3 linked regions of the Callithrix jacchus genome follow. The protein of the gene in region 3 interacts with the protein of the main gene of each other region in a biochemical or structural test. Links are inferred from orthologs where the notes say so. Each region holds a gene or a part of one and is shown on either strand. Other genes may lie near its edges.

What was found.
Region 1: the proteins of S100A6 (region 3) and CACYBP are reported together in a solved structure, tested with the Homo sapiens proteins (2 studies listed by BioGRID and IntAct, with this or other methods). The link is inferred for Callithrix jacchus from reciprocal best matches to the Homo sapiens genes S100A6 and CACYBP.
Region 2: the proteins of S100A6 (region 3) and CEP43 form a complex in vitro, tested with the Homo sapiens proteins (2 studies listed by BioGRID and IntAct, with this or other methods). The link is inferred for Callithrix jacchus from reciprocal best matches to the Homo sapiens genes S100A6 and CEP43.

The regions. Positions count from the first base shown.
Region 1 is NC_133519.1:28,149,058-28,155,122, reverse strand, and holds part of CACYBP (calcyclin-binding protein), read left to right. Parts: 5' UTR 1-325; coding exon 326-370; intron 371-3,112; coding exon 3,113-3,332; intron 3,333-6,065. UniProt on the Homo sapiens protein: May be involved in calcium-dependent ubiquitination and subsequent proteasomal degradation of target proteins. Probably serves as a molecular bridge in ubiquitin E3 complexes. Participates in the ubiquitin-mediated degradation of beta-catenin (CTNNB1).
Region 2 is NC_133505.1:173,673,572-173,679,636, reverse strand, and holds part of CEP43 (centrosomal protein 43), read right to left. Parts: intron 5,647-6,065; coding exon 5,420-5,646; intron 3,240-5,419; coding exon 3,127-3,239; intron 2,491-3,126; exon of another isoform or gene 2,370-2,490; coding exon 2,301-2,369; exon of another isoform or gene 502-2,300; intron 1-501. UniProt on the Homo sapiens protein: Required for anchoring microtubules to the centrosomes. Required for ciliation.
Region 3 is NC_133519.1:13,945,722-13,951,802, forward strand, and holds S100A6 (protein S100-A6), read right to left. Parts: upstream 3,078-6,081; 5' UTR 3,035-3,077; intron 2,473-3,034; 5' UTR 2,437-2,472; coding exon 2,299-2,436; intron 1,710-2,298; coding exon 1,575-1,709; 3' UTR 1,475-1,574; downstream 1-1,474. UniProt on the Homo sapiens protein: May function as calcium sensor and modulator, contributing to cellular calcium signaling.

The DNA of each region.
Region 1 (6,065 bases), about 14 Mb from region 3:
GGCTAAAATTCTTTTTCATGCGTATGGCGCATTGTGTTTATCCTTTCATCAGTTGATGGACACTTATTTCCACTTCTTTTTTTGAGACGGGAGTCTCGCTCTGTCGCCCAGGCTGGATGGCACAATCCTGGCTCACTGCAACCTCCACCTCCCGGGTTCAAGCGATTCTCCTGCCTCACTGCCGCGCTCCACAACACCCAGCTAATTTCTGTATTTTTAGTAGAGACGGGGTTTCACCAAGTTGGCCAGGCTGGTCTCAAACTCCTGATTTCAAGTGATCTGCCTGCCTGGGCCTCCGAAGGTGCTGGGATTACAGGCGTGAGCCATGGGGCCCACGTCCGGCCTTATTTCCACTTCTTGGCTAGCTGCTGTGAGTAATGTATACAAGTTTTTTGGGGGGACATTTTTGTCGGTTCTCTGGGGTATATACCTAGGAGTGGAATTAGTGGTTCATATGGTAACTTTCTGAGAAACTGTTAAAACTATTTCCAGAGGGTTGCACCATATTCCCACAAGAAATGTTTGAAGCTTCCAGTTTCCCAACATCCTTATCAACATTTGTTATTTTCTGGGATGTTTTATTTTTCTTTTTTGGTTTATGATACCATCCTAGTGGGTGTGAAGTGGCATCTTAGGGATTTGATGAGGATGTTGAGCATCTTTAATGTGCTTGGTGTCCATTTCTGTGAGAAATGTGTGTTGAATTCCTTTGCCCATTTTTGAGGCACATTGGTGTTAATGCCTCCTAGGTGAAGAATTAGGAAATAGGTAAAGCTTGAATGCGTTATGGATAGGGATAAAAGAAAAATAGAATTTTTATATAGGTAAAACAAATACATGCCAAGAAGGCAAGGAAAATTCCATGATAAACTAGATGAGAAACTACTCTATCTAGGACATGTTAAAGGATTTGTGCAGGAAGGTTTCAAATCTGCAAACAGCAGAACTGAGGAACTGTTTCAGTTGTAAATTTCTTAAGTGCATACCTTACAATAAAAAGATTACAGCCAAACTGGCAATAAAGAGGCTTGGGAATTCAGCCATTGGGGGAATCTCTTGCCTAATTTGAAGTACTTTTCTGATTCTGCTAGAAAAAGCATTCCTATTCCAGTCAAAAATCAGAATTTCTTGTTTAGGCTTGTTACATTTCATTTTACATTTCAATATTTTTATGAATTAGGAATTTTGGAATCAGCATGAATTTTTGGAACTATTACAATAAAAATATTACTTTGAACCAAAACATCTTAGTTCTAGGCTCAAAAGATGAGTTTGCAGAATTTTTTGTCATGGTAGTATGAACCGCTCTTGGAAGGGTCTGAGGGTGGACAGGAGGGTGGAGCAGAGTTGAACTTTTTTTTTTTTTTTTTTTTTTGAGTCGGGGTTTTGCTCTTGTTGTCCAGGCTGGAGTGCAAATGGCGTGATCTTGGCTCACTGCAACCTCTGCCACCCGGGTTCAAGTGATTCTCCTGCTTTGGCTTCCTGAGTAGCTGGGATTACAGTCATGTGCCACCACGCTGGTTAATTTTTGTATTTTTAGTAGAGACAGGGTTTTGCCATGTTGGTCAGGCTGGTCTCGAACTCCTGACCTCCAGCGATCCACCGGCCTCAACCTCCCAAAGTGCTGGAGCCACTGCACCTAGCTAGAGTTGAACTTTTTATACTATGTCATCTGTTATAGTTAGGCAAAACTAGGGCCTCTGAATTAAATAAAAGACTTGTAGTAAAAGAAAAGAATGGGTAGTTCTGTTACTGCATTTTATGACTAAGAAAGGCTTTCAAACTGTTGTGTTTCTGATATTCCGAGTTATTTATTTTATTTTTTTTGAGACGGAGTTTCGCTGTTGTTACCCAGACTGGAGTGCAATGGCACGATCTCAGCTCACCGCAACCTCCGCCTCCTGGGTTCAGGCAATTCTCCTGCCTCAGCCTCCTGAGTAACTGGGAACTACAGGCACGCACCACCACGCCCAGCTAATTTTTGTATTTTTAGTAGAGATGGGGTTTCACCTTGCTAATAACCAGGATGGTCTTGATCTCTTGACCTCATGATCCACCCGCCTCGGCCTCCCAAAGTGCTGGGATTATAGGTGTGAGCCACTGCACCTGGCTATTCTGAGTTATCAAACACTTAAAGATTTTTTTAAATTGAGCTTCTGACATAATCAAGCTGTGACAGAAGATTTTTTGGTCAAGTTGGTAGTATCCAGCCAGAATGTAAAAGTCATTGTAAGAAAAGCGAATCACCTGTTTGGAAAGATCTTGTGCATTTGCAGTATGTCAGAGGGTAATTAGGGAAAAAAACTTAGGCTCAATAATTTTCTAACATTGTCTTTAACTCTTGAATTTCATAAAATGTTGCCTCTATCTCTAGAAAGTAAAAAGTAGTAGACTTTAGTAGATGATGGATTGGCATAAAAAGAAAACAAGAACTTGGTGGCTTTTTCAAAAGATAATTTCCAAGAGTAGGTTGCATTTTGGGTTTTTTGTCACCTGTGCACCCAACTCCTACACTTCTGACTGTAAGACCCAGCTTCAGAACAAGACTTTTCCTTAAAAGCAGAAATTTGTTTTTAAAAATCTTTAGTCTGAAAACTTTAGACTTTTTTTATGTGAGGTATTTGAGGTGGGAAGATAATGAAGACCAGTCAGTGACAGAAAGTAGAGTATTCATTACCTCAGTAAAGTTGCTATATTACCATGCTGTATTACACTGCATGTTCTCTCATCTCTTAAATATTTTTAAAGTGTCTTAACATCTAATGATACTAGGATTAGATGTTACAAGGAAATCTATGAACACCTTGTTAAAAAAAATTTCTAAGTTGCAGATGTGTCTTGTAAATATTTTAAATACAAACTGGAAACTAGGTTTGATTACCTATTGTTTGTTCAAGATTGTTCAAAGTTTTCCTTTAAAAAAAAAGGAAGCTTGAGTTAATTATAGTTAATAAGCCAGAGGAAAGAATTGAAGTTGCAACTCAATCCTAGAAAATTTAGATGAACCTCTTAATTCTTAGTGCTTATTTCAGTAAGTTGAAATGAGTGATAAGCACAATAGAAAACCATAGCCTTATTTATCATAGCTAACTTATTTTTTGTCTTAACACAGCTACAGAAAGATCTAGAAGAGGTAAAGGTGTTGCTGGAAAAGACTACTAGGAAAAGAATACGAGATGCCCTTACAGCTGAAAAATCCAAGATTGAGACAGAAATCAAGAACAAGATGCAACAGAAATCACAGAAGAAAGCAGAGCTTCTTGAAAATGAAAAGCCAGCTGCTGTGGTTGCTCCCATTACAACAGGCTATACAGTGAAAATCAGTAATTATGGTATGATTTGCTTCCCTAGACCAGTTCTGCCTCCGATCAACCTATTCCTCATAGTGATCTAGTAACAAATTTTTATTTATTTATTTATTTATTTTGAGACGGCGTTTCGCTCGTTACCCAGCTGGAGTGCAATGGCGCGATCTCAGCTCACTGCAACCTCTGCCTCTTGGGTTCAGGCAATTCTCCTGCCTCAGCCTCCTGAGTAGCTGGGATTACAGGCACGTGCCACCATGCCCAGCTAATTTTTTGTAGAGATGGGGTTTCACCTTGTTGACCAGGATGGTCTCGATCTCTTGACCTCGTGATCCACCCGCCTTGGCCTCCCAGAGTGCTGGGATTACAGGCGTGAGACACCGTGCCCGGCCAAATTTATCTTTAAAAGAGCTTTCTGTGTGCGTTTTTGGTGGCTTGGAGGAAGACCCATCAGTTTTTATTTAATAAATAGGAAGGGATAATTTACAAAAGATGTTAACAATAAGGTGATTCAGTGCAAAGATGAATAGCAACAACGAAGCAACTTACTCTGAAATTGTTCAGTATATATGAGGCACTGCAGTGGTGGTGGTTTTTAATGTTTTACGTTGCACTCTGACAGCCACCTCAATTAACTGAGGAGAGGAATCCAGTTAAATTCAATAAATGTTTTTGAGCACTTACTGTGTATCACTATTGTGCTTGGACTTAAGGATACACAAGAGTGACTAAGACCCAGTCCTTGCTCATGGTGTGGTTGGGACACAGACATATAACTCACACTATAACAATGTAGTAACACTTTCCTTCAGTGGTGTATTCAGCTTTTTGTTTTGGCGGCAGTACAACTTGAATATGAGTGATCAGCTCTCATGAGAGCAAGGACAGTCTTTTTTTTCTTTGTGCTCATAGTGTCTAGTACATAGTGGGTAATATAGCTCAGGAAATAATTCTGGAGGTGAGAAACGGGGAAAATTAGATTTGAATGTGAAGGGTGAGTTGTATATTCAGTAAGTTGAAAAGGGAGCAGCATGAGCAGAGGAAGAGTTGGAAGGCATGATATATATGGAATATTGGTATAGTGAAAAGCATGTGTATGCTGGTTTCAAACTCCTGACCTCCAGTGGATCCACTGGCCTTGACCTCCCAAAGGGCTGGGATTACAGGTGTGAGCCACTCCACCCGGCCAGAGTTGAACTTTTTATACTGTGTCGTCTGTTAAAGATAGGCAAAACTAGGGTATCTGAGTTAAATGAGATAAAAGACTTGTAGTAAAGGAAAAGCATTAGTAGTTCTGTTACTGCATTTTATAAGACTATTAAGAAAGACTTTCAAACTGTCGTGCTTCTGATACTGAGTTTTGTTGTTTTTTTTTTTGAGACGGAGTTTCACTCTTGTTGCCCAGGTTAGGGTGCAATGGCATGATCTCTGCTCACTGCAACCTCTGCCTCCTGGGTTCAAGCGAGTCTTCTGCCTCAGCCTCCCGAGTAGCTGGGATTACAACCATGTGCCACCATGCCTGGATAATTTTGTATATTTAATAGAGACTGGGTTTCTCCATGTTGGTTAGGCTGGTCTCGAACTCCCAACCTCAGGTGATCCACCCGCCTGAGCCTCCCAAAGTGCTGGAATTACAGGCATGAACCACCACGCCTGGCCCTGATATTGAGTTATTAAGTACTTAAAGATTTTTTTTTAATTGAGCTTTATATAATCAAGCTATGACACATGATTTTTTTGGTCAGGTTGCTAGTATCAAGCCAGAATGCCTAAGAAATGTACTGTATAGTACTATAGGAAATTGTACTGTGTGCTCAGTTGAGTATAGAAAACTGATCTGAAGGTGTTTAGGATTATGGTATTTTAAGCAGGAACATAGAAATGTGTTGAGGGAGAAGTATTGTCAATCCAGAGGATGGACTGACTGAATGGGAAGAAACTATTAATAAATGAAGTTCTCTGAAACCCTCAGGGCATTGGATTAACACTATGTTTCTTTATAATTTTCGTAGGTACACAGTAGTTGTATATATTTATGGGGTACATGAGCCATTTTGATATAGGCTTGCAGTGTGAAAAACGTCATGGAGAATGGGGCATGTTTTTATTCTGTAGGACTAAGTGAGGACCAGTTAGGGATGTGTACATATACTTGATAAACAGACGACTTTTTTACGAAGCTTTTTATTTTCTACAAATGAGATGGTATTTTGTGAAGTTTATATGTCTTTTACGTCGACAGAGTTCCTCTAGGTTAGAGACTTGTTGGTAGTTTGATAATACATACTGAAATAGCATTTAATAGATACTGGTAGGTATGTCAGATTTGGATGAAGAATTGGGAGTCTTTTACATTGTTCTGCCCTGGAAAGAAATTAAGGGAGCTAGGATTGCATTTGTTAGACTACTTAGAGAAGTAGAAATGATACGGAATTAGACTTTAGCCATCCAGCTAAGTGGAGAACTACCAATATTTAGATGTAGGACAAAATTATTTCCATAAAAATGGTAAATGAACTAGTCTTTAAAAATGTATTTAGTGATCATATTTTTATTCTAAGGGATAAAAAGAGCATAGGCTTTGTGTTCAGAAACCTGGATTTGAATCTGAATTAGTCTGGCACTTGTTAGATGCCTAACTTTGGGTAGTACTTAGCTGCTTTGAGGCTCCATTTCTCAACCTTGAAAATTTCTTAGATTTCAAATTTTTTCATGTTTATATGACTGGATTTCCATATTTTTACTTTCCTGAAATTTGAG
Region 2 (6,065 bases), on a different chromosome or scaffold from region 3:
GATTGTGCGCTAAAGCTTTCTTTGTAGATGATTTCTTTGGAACTCAGAATGTATTTTCCCATTGAAATGATTATTTAAATCCTGTCTAAGTAACAGACAGACAGTAAAACACAGTGGTAAGGGCTCCGTGGGGATGCATCAGGACTCTAAAAGCAGCACGACCATGGGCAAGTTATTTAACCTAGGTTCTTCATCTGTAGAAATGGAGATAATAATAAAACCTACCTCATAGGCTATGAATTAAATAAAATAATTCCTTGGTACAGTGTAAAGCATTTATCACTAACATCATTATTATCCTAAGGTAGTCTAACATCTGTCTATATATTACTCAAAACACCTAGAGGACTGTATATTTAAAATGTAAAAAACCCAAATAGAAAACAACATTGTTGCAATATCAATCAAACATTCCACAAAACAAAGTAAAACTTTATTTCTACTGAATCCTAATGCCTAGCTAAATGACAAACATTCAGCTAGTAAACTGGTAGTTCTCACCTGCATAACTATCCAAATTCCAATCTGAAGTATACCTAAGTCCCAAGAAAAAGTGAAGGAGCACACCACCTTCCTGCCTGTACCCAGCACCTCTGCAGCGAGAGCGATCACCTTCCCTCCTAAGGATGAGAATTCTTAGCAGCTCCGCCTCAGAAGCTGGTGGGAAAACCTTCGCTTTGGTCAGAGAATAGAGCAGTCAGAGTGAAATGCTCAAAGGTTTGGCATCAAAGTGAAACACCACAAAAGAGAAAAAAACAGAACACGACGGGGACAGTGCAGCCGTCAGAATGCAGAGGTTGGAGTAAAGTCTCTGGAGGCAGTTAGCCATTGGTGTCAAGTGGAAAACAACATCTAATGGCAACCAGAACTCCCGCTGACAGGAAAAGCACAAGGGAAGGAGAGGGGGCAGGCCCATCTAGCTGGCCCGCCAGCCAGCAACCAGGGGACACAGAGCACAGGGTGGCATAATCAGCAAGTCAGCTGTTACCAGGACTCCAGGGCACTGTGTGGAACAAGAATCCAGGCAACTCAGGGGACATTTATTCTTCTGCAAATGCGGGAACAAAGTAACACAAAAGGGAAACTAACATTGACTAGGCACCTATCATGCCAGGCATTGTACCTTAATTTACATATGAAAAGGTATTTAAATCCTATTTGCTCTTTAAAACTAGGCAGATGTTATTAGTTCCACTTAACAGATGAGGAAATAGCAGTTTAGTTTACCTCCCTATGCTACCCCATCAATCAGTGCCACATCTGAGATGTTACTGCTACCCAACTCCAAGCCCAAGTTCTTTGCACTAACCAGAATGTCTCTCGTGAAGAGGGAAGGGTATTCTTGGTGCTGCCCCTCAGACAGGCCTGAGTTCTAAAAGCACATGGGGACACAGCTTTCTTTTTCCCCCAACCTGCTTGGGCAGCTGTGTTCCAATGCTTCCATGTCTAAGTGACTAAAGACCAGGAAGCGATCCCACCACATCCACAGAGAGCATAGGAAGTGGCCACTGAGAGCCTGGCTACACCATTTCCTTCAGGTCAGTGCCTGAGTTTGCCAAAAGTATGCCTGTTACCCTGCTACGGTCTTGCAACAGGAGACAGCACGGTTTGAGAACTGTGCTCTCAACATATGGCCCAGGGCTTGGTAATGTTCACACTGACACTCTTACCTCCATAAGAACGAATGTACTTACACGGCAGTCTCACCAACTTCTGCTCCATTGAACAGAACTGAACACATTTCACAATTTTTCTTTCAATAAGTCTTGTTTCCCCATTAGACTGAATTCTCTGAGGCCTGGACCATGTACTACTAGCATCTAGCAAACGGCTCTGCCTCTGCACAAGTTTTTCTCAGTCTGAAATTGAACAGAAATATCTTCCCTTCTCTTGTATACATCTACTTAACCATCAAGCCTCTGTACAGACATCACTTCCTCTAAGAGGTCTTCCCCGAATGTCAAGACTGGGCCAAGGTAACCTACTTGCCATTTCTATACCCATATATACTGACCCTTTTACACTCAAAATATCTGCAGATACCTGTTCAGTGTCCATATTCCTGACCAGAATTTAAACTCCATGAAGACAGAGGTTCATGAGGACATGATGGCTGTTGCTGGGGTCATCTCTGGCATAGGGCATAATCCTGAACATATGAAAGCCACCCAAACACCTGCTGAATGAACAGCAGCAGGAAGGTGCTCGGTGGAGGCAGACTGAGTCACTTCTTCTACAACCTTACCTTAAAAATAATTACTTTAAAACAATCAACACAAAAAAACTGGAAATCTAGTTACCTAATCCAAGGGATCCAATTTTATCACTGATCAATTTCAGATCTTTCAAAACTATATTCCCCCCTTTACCTGTGAACAGGAGAAGATATTATTAGAGTGACTCTTAGAATACAACAGTCTCTAAACCACATTAATTTTTGTTGTTGTTCAATATGGAGCTTCTTTATGACAGGTGCATAATAACCTAAAACTAAAGAAAAAATAAACTAAGATTAATGAATGCTTAAATTATGCATTACAACTCCTTTGAGATGGAATCTTGCTCTGTCACCCCAGGCTGGAGTGCAATGGTACGGTCTCAACTCACTGCAACCTCCGCCTTCTGGGTTCAAGCAATTCTCCCACCTCAGCCTCTCGAGTAGCTGGGACTACAGCTGTGTGTCACCGCACCCGGCTAATTTTTGTATTTTTAGTAGAGACTATGTTGGCCAGGCTGGTCTCAAACTGCTGACCTCATGATCCGTCCGCCTCGGCCTCCCAAAGTGCTGGGATTACAAGCATGAGCCACCATGCCCGGCCACAACCCTTTTAAAACCATAAACAATACTACTTTATTGGAACACAACCACCAAAAAAATGTTTTTGCCTAATTATAAGACATCACTTTCCTTAAGAAGCTCCATTAGGTATGAATTCAGACTACAATTAATTATTTTCATCAATTTTATTTTCCCTTTAAACTTCTAAATTTTTCTTCAATTCAACTGCTATTTCATATACTAAAGTGACATCCTCACTGGTTAGTCCTTCATTGTCAAGGTCCTCTAAATGCTTAATTAGAGAAATAATATCCTGAGTAATCACGCCCACATCTTTGGGCACTTACTCTCAGAGTCTTTTAAGGAAGGGGTTCCCACCAGGGAGCTGAGTCCACTTTTTAAGGGGGGTGCATCTGAGAGCGAGGCCAGGCTTCCTGCTTGTTTCCTCGGTTCATTCCTCCTAGCAGGAAACAAGTGACAGTGAAATAGTGCTCTGATGTTCTGCCACTAAACACTTTCATTCTGCCACTAAAACAAAAGCAACTTACGGCTGGAAATCAAGAATACACACTTTACAGATTCAAAACCATAAAGTATACCAAGGATATACCAAGTATGCCAAACTTTACGGTTTACCAAAGTACAGATCAACCACAATCAACACAGCCAGTGTGTAAGAAATCAGCTCACCTCTCTTTAGAATCCTCTTCACTGTGATTTTTCTCAAAAGCCCTTTCCATCACCCAGACATGCAACCAAGGGACAATACAGGAGTTTACTAGCAAATAAGTGCCACCTCTCTGATTAAATATCATTTACAGAAACCACAAACTGCCATGCTGATGAACTCCCCTTAAAGTCATGACTACTAACCTCAAGAGGACCTTTAATTCTGCCCAATAACCCTGCAGGTTTCCACAGTCTCTTCTTGCCTTACTTTCTTATAGAATGATTTCACACTTTCTCCACTCTCCTCCAATCTCTAACCTCCATCCTCCATCCTCACTCAACTATGAACTCAGATGAGAGCCTGCACAGGTGCTACCGTCATATCCACCCCCTGCCTGCAACGGGACACACACGCTCTACTTTTCTAGCAAACACAAGCCCCTACATGGGATTTATTGCTGCACAGCCCTCCATGAGTTCTTCTCTTACTCCCTTACATCATTAATTCTTCCACCTTTAAAGCTGAACAGCTCTCCTCAGCATATGAGCTGTTATTTCTCCCACTTAAAAGACGTTTTTAACCCTACATCCTGCCCCTCCAGCCACCATCCTGGTCCTCTGCATACTTTTACAACGCATCAGAAAACTACCTGCCATCTACAATCCTTTCCTCTCTGTCTTGAATGCACTCTAATTTTTTAACCTGCCTCGCACCTTCATTCCAACAAAACTAACTCTGTCAAGGTCGTCACCGACCTCCAGATGGCTAAATCCAATGGCTTCATACAGCTGCTCTTCCCTACTACCTCCTCCAAAGATACCACTTTCCTGGTTCTGTGTCCTCTGGCCTCAAGGTGCACAGGACCTGCTTCCTTGGTGATCCTCTGCCGTCTCCACACCCAACATTATCTACAAACTGATGACTCCTAATTTACATCTCCAGCCTAGATCTCTCCATCAATCCCAATTCATATACTCAATAGCCTTCTTCGGATTTCCACCAGCAATCTTCTCTAACTCAGCACAGCGACAGGGAGTGCCAGGCTGTCATGCCACCTGTCTGTGCATCTGCTCTTGCTCTTTCCACTCTTTATCTAACGTGTTTCCAACCTTCGAGTTATGCAGGCTAAAAACCATGGTATCACTCTGGCTACTACTTTTTTCTCTAGCACTTACTGGCAAATCCTTTCCCATCTAAACTCAAAATACTTCCAAAACCCACCTATTTCTCCCACCGCTTCTATCACTTCTCACCTGAATAATCATTAATGGCCTCCTACCTGGAAACCCCAAGTCCAACCCTGCCTAGCAACCTCAGGTTCTGTAATGTATGCTGGTTCAAGATCCCCAGGGTTTCCAGTCTCAAAGGAAAGCCGTCCAGCCCTCTCATCTCTGAGTCCACCTCATCGGATCCCATTCTCGCTCTCTCTGCTACACCCATACTCACCTCCCTGCTGTCTGCTGTTTCCTCTCCCCAGAGCTCTATCAACCCATGGCAACTCCCTTAACTCCTCTACCTCTTTGCTCACAGGACACCTCCAAGTGAGGCCCCCTCCGATTTGGACAGCTGACACACACCTGCCCTGACCACACACTTGGGCTCCCATCATTGCTCTGCTCTCGTCACCCCATACACCACAGCGTAACTCTCACTGCCTGTCTGACTCCATCACCAGAGCATGAGCTTCCTGAGGGTAGGCGTCTTCCCTCTTCCATCATTGCTACAACCCACCATGGAACAGTCCCTGGCATATGGCAGACACTCAATCTAACAGGTAAGAATAAATCATGTCTAGGTTTTTATAAAACCTGGGACTGTTTTATAACATAAAGGCATTAACAACACATAATCAGATTTATGGATCCAATAATTATAAACCATCCATAGTTCATTATTTTTTAACTATAAAATGAAAGCATTTATCTTGTTTTTAAACCCCTAGTCTCCCAGTTCAGAAACCGTTTACTTACAAACCATAAGTTTTCTCTGGCTTAGGGATGGGATCATCGAAGAAAGAATCTCCTTCCATATCATCTGCATCTGGACAAAGGCCGGCTTTGTCTTTGCCATCTAAAGTTTTGTTGCTTAGAAAAGATCCAATTTTTGTTTCATTGGACAGTAAGTGAAGGCTGCTTTTGCTCTTGGGTTCTGACAAGGAGACACTTGTATCACTCTGATTGGCCTCATTGTTGGCCTTCTAGAAAGAAAGGGAAAGAGAAAAGGTCTCCTTGATATTTTAAATAATAAAACAAGTCTCGTGAGCATAAGCAAACTTGTGTTTGTCAGGGGCGGGGTAGTAAGGGTGAGGGGCAGCTCCCAGCAGCATGAACTGCAGAGCAATGCCACGATTCACCACTCCAATCCCAGGATTCCTAACGTGACAAACTTTCAAAGGGGGAGAATTTGTTTTAAATATATTAATATCATTCCTTTCCTCTTTCCTTAAATGTAAATACCTTCAATATACGTCTCCCATTTATAAACACTTTCCCTTTTATAAACAATTTCCCATCTCCCCCTTCCATATATCATTGCTTCATAAATTATCTTAAATTAATACATTTTTGACTTTAAAACAACTATTACAGAGAAAAGAAAGATTATTTCACATGAATG
Region 3 (6,081 bases):
TTCCCCTCATTGACTTACTCATGGTGGGTGTGTCGACTGTGAAGCTGAGTTGCTTAATTCTGGGGCTGAGTGCCAGGAGCCAAAGGATCCCCTACCCCGACATTCCCGGGCCGCCCAAGTCTGTCTTCTTCCTAAGGACTCCCTGACTGCCAGGCCACCGCCCCACCGCCAGAGACTCAGAAACCAACCCGGACGTCCCCGCGGCGTCCTGCTCTCTGTCCACCACAGGAGGGCGCTCGCTCCGAGCCCCAAGTTGTCTGCAGCTGGAAGGCGGGCGGCGAGGGGCGGGGAGGAAAGGGGAGGACAGCGGCTTAGGGCGGGGACCTAGCGGGCGCCAGAGGAGTTGGGAAGCGAGTACTTTTCCAGCGGGAGCTGAATAGAGCCAAGGCTTGGGCACGTTTGTGCAGTGGGGGCGTTCGGCCCCCGCCCCTCCGCCCGCCGTCTCCTGTAGCCAACAGCCCGACTTCTCCCAGCAGGGCAGGGAGGCAATAGAGAAGGTGCGGCTCCCAGTTGTTTACCAATCCCCACCCAGTGGAGACAGAAGACAACTTAATTCCACAAAGCTGGGTCCCCAAGGAAAGCGGGGAGGTGAGAGGGAAAGAAGGATGTGGTCTCCATCTGAAGTCAAGATCTCTTCCCCAAGAGCTAGAGGAGAACTTGCCCCCGCTCAGACCAGGTCTAGAGAGGCTGAATGATGTGGCATCACCCTGAAACAGCGTTTACCCCCCTTATCCCCTTCCCTCCTGCCTGAAACACTAATGAAGACGATGAACAATAATTCAATTTAGTCATCTTCTCTGATGGGGGCTGAGGTCCAGGCGAGGCTCCCGTGGAACCTCCGGGTGAGTCATCATCTTGAGGCTGCAGGGACACCCCACCCCATTACTGGGCTCCCCGTGGTTCACGTGTTGGTGCAGCTGCCAGCTCCTGAGACCACCGTCCCAACAAAGAGTCCCCATCCCTGAACGCGGGGAAGCACCTAGAGCATGCCTCCCTACTCCACCGGTACCTGGGCAGCCGCAGTAGACTGTCACACAGCGTCCTCACTGGTCTGGAAAACTCCCTGAGGCAAACCTCAGTCATCTCAGATGTGTCCTCTCTGCCCACTGCACTGTGGTGAGAAAGGGAACTTGCCCCACCCCAGGGCCCCTCTTGCCACACCCAGCGCAAAACACATCTGGGAGCCTCTGGGACTATCTCTGCTCCCAGACCCATCACAGCCCAGTCCAGGAATCATTTCCATCTCTAAGCTCATCCCAGGACCCTCTCCAACCCAAGAGGGGCATCTCTCCTCATTCACATAAAGGCACCTAATGTGCTAGCGGTGGCCTTGTCAGGGTGGGTCCCCCAGCCTAGCGAGTCAGTGAGTCATTTTCAGAGGTTGATGGTGAGCAAATCTTCGGATGGCTGGTGCCCCACTACGTCAAGGAAGCCCGGGAGGAACAGAAATCATTTGGAAGCCAGGACACAAGGGGAAATTTGACCCCAAAAAAGTTTATTGTATAATTACCCACCACTGGATTTGACTCAGAGGGGACCCCCAGAGGTGTCTTCACCTTCCTCCCACTTTATTTTCAGCCCTTGAGGGCTTCATTGTAGATCAAAGCCAAGGCCCCCAGGAAGGTGACATACTCCTGGAAGTTCACCTCCTGGTCCTTGTTCCGGTCCAAGTCGTCCATCAGCCTTGCAATTTCAGCATCCTGCAGCTTCTAATGTGATAGAATGTGAAATCCAGACTCAGGGGTGATGACAACCCTGGATTCTTGTCCTTCCCCCTCCCAGGCCCCCCTCTCTGCAAGTGGCTCTGTGCATCTTTGTCTCCAAGGACCTATGTCCACCTTGGGCTTCACTTTGGCATTACATATCCTCAGCTACTCCTCAGCCGCTGGTCCTCACCTGGAGGGATGGTCATCAGGCTGGGAGTATCCCCTACCCGCTGTGGGAGTAGTTCTACAGCTCAGTAAGACATGTGGAGCAGGGCCTCCGAATGTGGGTAAATGTGAGTCAGACATCAGCCTGGGAGCATCCCCTACCCGCTGTGGGAGTAGTTCTACAGCTCAGTAAGACATGTGGAGCAGGGCCTCCGAATGTGGGTAAATGTGAGTCAGACATCAGCCTGGGAGCATCCCCTACCCGCTGTGGGAGTAGTTCTACAGCTCAGTAAGACATGTGGAGCAGGGCCTCCGAATGTGGGTAAATGTGAGTCAGACATACCTGGCACCTCTCCCTCCCCTAATCCTGCTTCCAACGAACAACAGTGGGAAGAGGAAGAGGGGCCCTGGGGTGGAGGCCACTCACCGAGCCAATGGTAAGCTCCTTCTGGATCAGCTCCTTCAGCTCCTTCTTGCTCAGGGTGTGCTTGTCACCCTCCCTGCCAGAGTACTTGTGGAAGATGGCCACGAGGAGGCCGATGGCCTGATCCAGGGGGCATGCCATTGCTGAGGGCTGGGCTTGGAGCTGGCAGCAGAGGCCCTGGTCAGTGCCGTGGGAGCAAAGACTTCTCACCCACACACCCCAATAACACTGCCAGCACTAGCCCCGACCACTCAGTCTCAGATCACACACAATGGCATGAGGAGACAGCCCAGGGCTTGAAGGGGAAGGAGAGGGCAGACTAGGGCCAAGGCAGGAGAGGTGGCTTAAGGATTCTAAGAATCATATAGGAACAGCAGCTTTGGGCACCGCTGAGAACTGTCCTTTAGGGGATCCAGAAGTTATGGAGTATGGCTGGGCAGGGGAGGGGGATGGAGGCTGCACAGGAGGCCCTAAGCACAGCCTCGCAGGGCCACACATGGTGGCAGTGACACACCCAAGGCACTCCCTTCCACACCCCAAAAGAGTACACCCCATTGGGATCCCTTAGCCCGGGGCCTGCCTGGCACAGCACTGCTGCTCCTGACTATCCCTCCAGCCGGGGAGGCCACAGATGGCCCCAGTCTGGATCCAGGGGCCAGGCTGGGCAGGGGGTGGCTGGACCCCCAGCGTGAGGGCAGCCGGCCCTGGAAAGTACCCAGGGCTCCTGGGGAGAACTCACCGGTAGCGAGGCTGCCAAATGCGACGGGAGCAATCGAGGGGATGGGCTGAGTCGCAATCCGGCTGGCCTTATAGCGGTCTGTGCCCGGGAGGCCGGCTCGGCCAAGCCCACCCCACCCACGCAGGTCCCGCCCGCGCCCCACCCCGCGCCGTGGCTTACACGACGCACACCCCGGTGTCCCCCCTCGACTTTCCACGCCTCCTGCCCGGGGCTGTTCTGGGTTAGGACGGGATAGGGGAGCCCAACAGAACCCACTGCACGCCTGGTGACGGGGAGTTTCCCCCAGCTGCGCAGCTCAACTCGTTCTTCATGACACGTGACCCGGCGAGGGGAGCAGGAGGAGGACGGCGGCGGTCACCCCTGCTTCCTCTGCCAGAGCGTGAATGTGACCCTCGAGTCTGCGCAGCCTCAATGTGGGCAGGGAGGGCGCCTCGCGGGATGCCGGTGTCCCGCAGAGGATACTCAGGGTCACCCCACAGGAGAGAGGGGGAGTAGCCAGCGGTCGGTCTAAGGATGTCTGCAGCACCCACCCCCCACCAGCAACAAGTCCTACCTACACCTCCAGCCTTCCCCTCACTGCCCCAAATTCCATTCACGACAGCACCTTGCGTTAATGCGTGCAGGCAGGAGCCCAGCCCTGTAAGCACCATTCCTAGTGAAAGCCTTTTCAGAGCCTCCCCTGAGAAAAGATTTTGATAAGGGAGGTAGGGAGAGGGGAAAGGGTTGGCCCCCAGAGATGATGAGCGGGGCGCTGCTGAAGGGGAAATGGAGGAGAGGGAGGGGCTGGATGAGACGCAGACTTGCCCTTCCTACCAGTGCTGCCAGGGTGGCCTCCCCTGAGCTCTGAAGTCAAGCCTGCCTGCCCATCACGGCCCTCAGGAGCCACTCCCAGCCCCTCCCAGTGTCCTCCTCTCCAACCAACTTTCTCTCTTTGCTTCCTCTGCGTCCTCGCAGAGTTCCTGCCTGGCCTGACTTCCCCAGGAGGGCAAAACTAAACCAGGACAAGACCAATGACGTCCACACCGAAGGAGAGGAAAGGAGTGGGAGCCCAGGACCCTGACCCCCAGAGACAGAGGCTGTCTCAACCCACTCAAGGGGAGACCCCCCTCCTTGCTCCCCTTTCCCCAGGCCAAGGTAGACCAGACATCTTCAAAACCAGACTCCCAGCACCTGTGATGGAAACTTTATTTCCTCCTGTGGAAGGGTCCATCGGGGAGGAGAGGAGGGCAGGGGACCAAAGAGGGGCCGTGACAGGAGCAGCCAAGGTCAGCGGCAAGGGACACAGGGTGAGGGTGGAGGGCATCCCGAGTCACTTGCTGTCCTCCAGGAAGAAGTCATTGTAGGCCATACACAGCGTGGTCAGGAACACCTAGTACTCCTTGAAGTCGATCTCCCGGTCGCTGTTCTTGTCCAGGCTCTTCATCAAGTCATCGATGCTGCTCTCCTTCATCTTCTTCACAGACCAGGTGGAGGGACAGCTCAGACCCCACTCCCCACCCTGCCCTCCCACCACCGCATGGTGTCACCCCCCTCAAAGCCTCAGGGTGAGCCTCAGGTGAGTCAGGATCTCAACCCCCAAAGTCTGCCCGCTGCCCACACCTAGGGAAGGGCCTGGCACCAGGTAGGGGAAGAGAAACCTGACTCCTGAATGGAAATAAATGACAGCAGGAACGCTGGCCTAGCCTGCCTTTCTCGAAACACTATCCGCCAGCAACAGAAACAATCGTCTAGGTTTCATACCAACACCTGATAAAAACAGCTCAGCGGCTCTCGCCTATAATCCCAGCACTTCGGGAGGCCAAGGTGGGTGGGTCACCTGACATCAGGAGTTCGAGACCAGCCTGACCAACATGGTGAAACCCTCTCTCTACTAAAAATACAAAATTAGCCAGGCGTGGTGGTACATGCCTGTAATCCCAGCTACTTGGGAAGCTGAGGCAGGAGAATCACTTGAACTTGAGAGGCAGAGGTTGCAATGAGTGAGATCATGCCATTGCACTCCAGCATGGGCAACAAGATCAAAACTCCATCTCAGAAAAAAAAAAAGCAAAAAAAACCATCTTGCTGATTGTGTGGCACTGAGCGTTATCCAAGTCTCTGACTGACTCTCTCCTCATTCTAAGGTCTAGCTGAGAATGAGCCCAGACAAAGTGTCTCTCAATGAGAGCAGTGCATTGGGGCTGTGGAGCCACTGTATCCCTCCCTTGCTAGGAGAGCCGTAAAAGAGGCCTGCCTGGAGCCTGGAGCCTGGTTGTGCACTCTTGCCTGGCCCCCTGACATCCCAGCCCGGCTCCACCAGAATGATGGAGTCAGGGTCCTTTGGGTGGAACAGGAAGAAAATACAGATAGGCAGATCCTGCCGTCTCCTCATCACTGCCGTCAGCTACAGGTTTTCCTGGAGACAGGATGTTGGGACTTACAGAGGTGGAACCTACTTGAATGTGACATGACCCTAGACCCCAGCCCGGGCTCCAGTTGTTGCCAGGCCCTCCCCAGGCATCTCTCCTCTGTAATTAACCCCTGCTGGACCCCGGGCCCCTCCCTCTGCCCTCATTAACTCCAGGAAGCAGGGAGCCTGGCAGAAGGCCAGAGATCAGGCCTGGAGACGCCCGCACCTGCTTCTGTCCCCTGCCCATGTGGCACACTGTGAACTTTCTGGGAGGGCCTACCAGGGCTCAAGGTGTGATAGATGGAGAGGCCCCAGGCTAAACTGTAAAGGAAACAGGGGCCGGGCGTGGTGGCTCACGGCTGTAATCCAACACTTTGGAGGCCAAGGCAGGCGGATCACCTGAGGTCGGGAGTTCAAGATCAGTCTGACCGACATGGTGAGACCCTGTCTTAAAAAAAAAAAAAAAAAAGGAAACAGGGAGATTGGTTCCCAGGCCTGGCCCAGAACACCGGCTCAGCCTCCCACTAGCAGGGTGTCGTTAGACAAGTTATTTGATATATTCGAGCACCGATTTGTTTTAACTGTAAAAATAATAAGACTAAGCACAGTGACTCATGCCTGTAATTTCAGCACTTTGGGAGGCCGAGGCGATAGGATC